Xenopus tropicalis: one gene and its partner. The protein of the gene in region 1 interacts with the protein of each later gene in a biochemical or structural test. Links are inferred from orthologs where the notes say so. Each region holds a gene or a part of one and is shown in the gene's direction. Other genes may lie near its edges.

What was found. The genes of interacting proteins can lie anywhere in the genome.
Region 2: the proteins of e2f1 (region 1) and pura form a complex in vitro, tested with the Homo sapiens proteins (2 studies listed by BioGRID). The link is inferred for Xenopus tropicalis from reciprocal best matches to the Homo sapiens genes E2F1 and PURA.

Annotation. Positions count from the first base shown.
Region 1 is NC_030686.2:41,701,422-41,705,377, forward strand, and holds the end of e2f1 (transcription factor E2F1), read left to right. Parts: intron 1-1,634; coding exon 1,635-1,879; 3' UTR 1,880-3,352; downstream 3,353-3,956. UniProt on the Homo sapiens protein: Transcription activator that binds DNA cooperatively with DP proteins through the E2 recognition site, 5'-TTTC[CG]CGC-3' found in the promoter region of a number of genes whose products are involved in cell cycle regulation or in DNA replication.
Region 2 is NC_030679.2:31,046,979-31,050,088, forward strand, and holds pura (transcriptional activator protein Pur-alpha), read left to right. Parts: upstream 1-1,187; 5' UTR 1,188-1,242; coding exon 1,243-2,091; 3' UTR 2,092-2,474; downstream 2,475-3,110. UniProt on the Homo sapiens protein: This is a probable transcription activator that specifically binds the purine-rich single strand of the PUR element located upstream of the MYC gene. May play a role in the initiation of DNA replication and in recombination.

The DNA of each region.
Region 1 (3,956 bases):
TCAATACTAGCACACTGTTTACTGCTTTAGAAAACACAAAGCAAAGTCTCCAAACAAACTTGGTCTAAGTAATCTGTTAAAGGAACAGTAACACCAAAAAATGAAAGAGCTTTAAAGTAATAAAAATATAATGCACTGTTGCCCTGCACTGGTAAAACTGGTGTGTTTGCTACAGTAACACTACTATAATTTATATAATAAGCTGCTGTGTAGCCACGGGGGCAGCCGTTCAAGCTTGGAAAAAGGAGAAAAGGCACAGGTTACATAGCAGATAACAGATAAGTTCTGTAGAATACAATAGTGTTTTATCTGTTATCTGCTATGTGCCTGTGCCTTTTCTCCTTTGAATGGCTGCCTCCATGGCTACATAGCAGCTTATTTATATAAATTATAGTAGACTTTCTGAAGTAAACACACAACTTTTACCAGTGCAGGGCAGCAGCACATTATATTTTAGTTTTATACACTTTCATTTTTTGGTGTTACTATTCCTTTAATCCGATCTAACTGCTTCAGATTGCATGGAAATCTGCTGCTGTAGAGTCAGGCTGCTAAACGAGAAGCAAACCTACCATTTAGCAAGGGCTATACTAATCAGTCTCGGCTAATGAGGTCAAATTCTGGTGGCACTACAAAGTAAGGCCAGAGCTTGCAAATTTAAGGTGCAATGTTTGGTTGACAAAAACAGCAGATCTAAAAAGCATTGCTGTGGAACTGGGGATTTAATAAATCATGTGCTGGAAAGTGGCAGTTTTTTTTTTTCATTTATAGGCTTCAAAGCTTTATTGAATGGCTAGCATTACATAGAAGTATCTTGTCTGTTGTTTGGCACATAGTAGACCAACATCCATGTTGATTACTTACACCTTACTTGACTTGCTGCTACAAATTCCAGCCTACTTTAACATCACGGTATCAAGTGCATTTGGAGCTGTAGTTTAATAATATCATGGTTATATTGTAATCCATCAATGAGAATCCTACCTGCTCATGTTCTTTGTTCCTGCAACTCGAGGTGGAGACTTTGTCACAGAACATCTCAGCAGCAATAATATACAATAATACTGATGACCTCTATTGTTTATTACACTCACACTCTCTCTATAGGTGGCCATACACAGGCTGATTCTAGTTGCCAATATCGGTCCCTTAGACCGATTCGGCAGCTTATTGGCCCGTGTAGGGGCACTAACGACAGGCCTACCCGACCAACATCTGGCCTGGAATCGGGCAGGTTAAAAAATTTAGTCGGATCGGTCCTATTACCATCGTTCTAATTCGTTCGTTCAATCGGCCAAACAACTGGATTTGCTTGATATCGCCCACCTGTTGGTGGGGGATATCGGGAGGAGATCCGCTCACTTGGCGACTTCGCCAAGTAAGCGGATCTTAACGTCTATGGCCACCTTTACTCTCACTGCCGGTCAGTTCCTAAGCTCAGGAAGGGTTTAGCCCCCCACCCAAAGCTATTTGAAGCTTCTCCAGTTTTCCCTCAGTTGCGGTAAAAAATTTCCTTTCTGACACCAAGATGACAATTGGACCAGTTCCTGGATCAACTTGTTGTAAGAGCTATTATCAATAACCCTGTATTTTCTCACTCCACTAATATAACCTACTTGTCATGTTTTTTGTAGAGCCGTTCCTGCCACCAGAGAATGAAATACCTCTTGATTCTACCTTGAATTGTCTCCCACTTTCTCCCTCTAACCTCCTCCTGGACTACCGGGATGCTATGCCGGACTTTCTCCCCAATGACTTCATCAGCCTGTCTCCTGCTTCATCACAGGAGTACAGCTTTGGATTGCAAACCTGCGAGGGTGCTGCAGAACTTTTCAACTTCGACTGTGACTTTAGTGGCCTCACAGCTCTGGATTTGTAAAATAGTGCCTGAATAGGATATTTTTTTTTTTTGTCTAGCACAGAACCTATTACCAATAATCATTCATTGCTGCTCCAGTTCCTAATTGTCTTATAAGGCTATATATTCCTATGGTCCACATTCCTTTTGGAGGTTCATGTTTGTAATGCAAGAAAATCGATTTTGGAGATGTTAATTTGTATTACTAATCAAGCGCCAAAATAAATGTGTGTGTGAGTAATAAATATATATATATATAGTGTAGGTTGTCAGCGCTCAGGTTTTAAGTAATAAAGCAAAAAAGGCAACAAATTGAAAAATCAAGCAGTGAGGTTTATTTCAGTCCTATACAGGGACATTCGTCAGGGATCGAAAGTCCCTGTATAGGACTGAAACATCGGAACAAATAAACCTCACTGCTTGATTTTTCTATTTGTTGCCTTTTTTGCTTTATTACTTAAAACCTATGAGTGCTGACAACCTACACTATATAACCTACACTATATTTGATTCCTCGCTCTGGCACCTAGGTATCGCATTCTTATGGTGTGCTTCCTTTTCCATATATATATATATATATATATATATATATATATATATATATATATATATATATATATATACGCACACACACCTCTCTCCCTACTGCAGAAGATTAAACAAGAAACGAGAGGTTATAGTCTGGTCTTAGCACTTATATTTACCCATATGTGTGTGTGTATGGGGGAAATGATGCATTTTTAAAATGTTTTTCAGAGGGGTTAAGGGCTTGGTGTGGGTGGTGGAGAAAAGTGAGGCTTTAATAATGAACCTTCAAGCAGATGAACTGGTTGCTGATGGCCTAACCACTTCAGTATGTTAGTACGTAAGAGCTCTCAGCACAGACAGTCTTCGTGTCATTCTTTCTCTGAATGAAGAGCTTTGGGCCGCCCCTATTTCTTTTCCCCGCTCTTGGCATTTCCTGTGCATCCTTATAGAGGAAGTAGTATGCATTGTGACACATTTTGTTTTAATTTATTAAATCCCAGCAGCATTGTTGTCCCTTCCTTTAACCTTACGAACACCCCGTGCAAACAGCTTGCTGCCGGTGTTCTATAGTGTTGTGGTTTTATATAATATATAATTTGTTCCCTATGCTGTTTATTATGTTGATCACTTAAGTTACAGATTTTGTATATAAAAATGCACCAGGCTGAAGCTTTTGATTTGGAGTGTACAGCTAAAAAGGTTTAAAGAGTTGGGGGGGATTATTCTGTAAGTTGGTTGTTTGCGTATATTTTTACTTAAAAACTGCCCTTAAAAGTTGTATTTATAAGCGAGTTTATGTAGTAAAGTAAAAGTTAACTTTTTTTTTTTTTCTTCATTTTGTTCCCTTAATTGAGGGCTGTTCTGAATTGAAGAGCAGACGGGATCAGTGTGTTTGATTGAGCTAGCTTAATTTATCAATAAATCTATTTTCATTGCCAATAAAAAAAAACAACTTTTCAGCAAAAAGCGGTTTACAGCAAATCATCTTAAGTTCACATCCTTAATTGTTTTTGTTTCACAGCATTTTTTAATTATTACATTTTATTTAGAAAAGGAAAACAGTGCGAAACACAGAAAAAACAAGATGACGTGACGCCAAGCTATTGACAACCCCCCTCTCACTTGATGCATCTGGTTACATTGTCCCCGACCCCATGTTCTTTTTACCAGAATTATTCCATTGGTGATGTTCATGTGCCCCCAAAATCTTCCAGAATTTCTGTAAAATCTAAATGATATGTATAATCATCGGTGTACTATTAGAAGGCAGGGCCCAATGCAGATACATTTTCCAGGCCCTGGCATTATGGGTGAGGGAGTGGGGGGTTTGGTGGAGGGCAAAAGTGGCTCCCATCTTCCACTGCAGTGTGAAACTTTAAACCTTTCCCATCCCTTTGCTTTCATACTTGGGTCAACGAGCATCTGTGGGGAGCAAATATGGCGCCTGTCTGGCCACCCAGTTGTATGCTAGTTATGCCATTGCCCTTGTGTAATATTCTAGAATAACCATTCAGTTTATAATTTGAACAATTGGTTTCTTGGCTTCAGTTTAAATTTTGTTTGTACAGGT
Region 2 (3,110 bases), on another chromosome or scaffold:
GGCACTTCCTATTGGGGGCACTGTGTATGGGGCAATTGGGGCTCTGTGTATGAGGGCACTTTCTATTGGGGGGCAAGGTCTTTGGGGGGTATTGTCTATGGGGACACTGTGTTTGGGGCACTGTGTATGGGGGCACTTCCTATTGGGGGCACTTTGTATGGGGCAATTGGGGGCACTGTTTATGGGGGCACTGTGTATGGGGGCACTTTCTATTGGGGGAACTGTGTATGGGGCAATTGGGGCACTGTGTATGGGGGCACTTTCTGTGGGGGGGCAAGGTCTTTGGGGGGTACTGTCTATGGGGGAACTGTGTATGGGGAAATTGGGGCACTGTGTATGGGGGCACTGTCTAAGGGCAATTGGGGGCACTGTGTGGAGGGGGCTGTCTATGGGGACACTGTGTATGGGGCAATTGGAGGCACTGTCTATAGGGAAATTGGGGCACTTTCTATGGGCAATTGGAGGCAATGTGTGTGGGGGGCACTGTGTATGGGGCAATTGGGGGCACTGTGTATGGGGGTACTGTCTATGGGGCAGTTGTATGGGGGGACCGTGGCCAGAATAGCGTTAGGGGGCACTGTGGTAGGGTGACCCTAATACTTTTTATGTCTGTGTGTCCTGTACTGATGGGAGGGGCCCCGTGATTTCTGATGGCGGCCCTGCCACCATGGGCAGCCACTTTTGACAATTATGACATGCGCACCGCATTTCAAATTCAATCAAAAAAAAAAAAAAAAATTTAATGCTGCTTTTTTTATTTTGTCTATTTTTTTTAAGTATAACTAAATAGAGGGGCGGCAAATTTCCGGTCGGCCCCAGGCGACGAAAGCCCACGCTACGCCACTGATTCTCTCCTTTTAACCTATTTTGTTCTTGTCATTGCACTTTTAATAGATGTGCTAATAAATCCTGCCAGTCTGTGGTACCTTCCCTACTGCATAGTGAGGCAATACTGAAGGCTTAGCCGTTCCACAGAATGACCAAGTGCCATGTACAAACACAGGGATAGGATAGTGTGTGGTAGAAAGTGACTTTATTTTCCCAAAACACAAAATCGTTCAGACTTTTGAGGAAGGCAAGTTGCAGTGGCAATCTGCTCAGTGACACGGCGGCTAGTGTCTTTTAAATAGAAATGTGCTTGGCTTCCCTCACAGGGCAGATCTCGCGAGAGCGGCGGGGCTGGCTGTGGGAGCAGTATCTGTGGGAGTAGTAGGCAGAAGGGAAGAAGGCAGAGCCTGTATCATGGCGGATAGAGATAGTGGAAGCGAGCAAGGCGGAGCGGCAATGAGTTCCGGCGGTAGCTCGCTACACCCGGCGTCAGGAGCAGGTGGCTCAGTCCTGCAGCACGAAACGCAAGAACTGGCCTCTAAACGTGTGGACATCCAGAATAAGCGCTTTTATTTGGACGTTAAGCAGAACGCTAAGGGCCGCTTCCTGAAGATAGCGGAGGTCGGGGCCGGCGGCAACAAGAGTCGCCTGACGCTGTCAATGTCGGTGGCGGTGGAATTCCGCGACTATCTGGGAGATTTCATCGAGCATTACGCCCAGTTAGGACCCAGTAACCCGGACATGGCGCAGGATGAGCCGCGGCGAGCGCTAAAGAGTGAGTTCTTGGTCAGGGAAAACCGCAAATACTACATGGATCTGAAAGAGAACCAGAGAGGCCGGTTCCTGAGGATTCGCCAGACGGTAAACCGCGGGCCCGGCCTGGGCTCGACCCAGGGTCAGACCATCGCTCTCCCAGCGCAAGGACTAATCGAGTTCCGCGATGCTCTAGCCAAGCTTATCGACGATTACGGGGTGGAGGAGGAACCGGCCGAATTACCTGAGGGCACTTCATTGACTGTGGACAACAAGCGGTTTTTTTTTGACGTGGGCTCTAATAAGTACGGGGTGTTTATGAGGGTGAGCGAAGTGAAGCCCACCTACCGCAACTCTATCACCGTCCCGTACAAAGTGTGGGGCAAATTCGGGCACACTTTCTGCAAATACGCCGAGGAGATGAAGAAGATCCAGGAGAAGCAGAGGGAGAAGCGAGCCTCTGAGCACCAACAGCAGGAGGGCCATGGGGACGATGGGGAAGACGATTGATAACTGTCCCAATTACCCCCCTCCCCTTCCTTTCCCTTTATCCCTTTATGAACTGTCAAAGAGAAAACAAAAATATATAATAACTGTTTAACTCAGAGGGAGCACCGCCCACCAATCCTCCACACACTGACAGATTGTGACTTGTCACACCCCATCGCTGGATGTTGTCCACTTACCCACCATATAAACAGTAAGCAGCTGCTAAAAAAACAAAACAAAGTAATAACATTATATATGAACTGTGTTTCCTACTTGATTAAAATATAAAAAAATTGAGTGTTTATTTCCCTAATTAACCAAGAACTTTTGTACACCTGCTATTATTAAAAAGTGTTTGCAATGGTCAGATTATATAATTGCTGAAGTATATTAAAAAAAAAAAACAAACAGAAAAAAAAGGGTCCTTTTCATGTGAGCTAACATTTGAATTTAGCACAAAGAGATATTTTAGAGACACGTAAAATATTTTTAGTTTGACTTTTTTTTTCTCATTTTTGTTACCAAATGGAAAAAAAAAAATAAACCTTACATGGGGAAGGTCGTTAGTTCTAATTGACACCTTATATACCTGTGATTTAGAGACGTGTACATATTACGAGGGCTAGGCATGCTGTATGTCTGAGCTTTGTCTAAATGTTATGCAGAGGTTTGTAGAGTTAAAGGTACATAGGTTAATTCATGCAAGGTATAAAATACAACTGCTCTTTTTTTTACAAAAAAAAAAAAAATGCATTGCATCTGGACCTAAAAAGTACAAACGGTCAGTGAAACTTATGTGAACATGAGTCAACTTATTAAAAAAAAAAATTCAAATGACTTTTTGCAGATTTGTGATTTTTAATCTCTATCCCCCCCCAACCCGTTTGTGTTTCATTTTCAGCATATCTTGTTCCGTAATTGTGCTGTTATAAAATCTGTGTGTATGGCATAAGCCTGATCTTCTTCAGGTATGGGATCTATCAACAGGAATGGTTTTTCGGTAAAAGGGTCTCTACCTAGAATTATAAAGCACCGTGGTT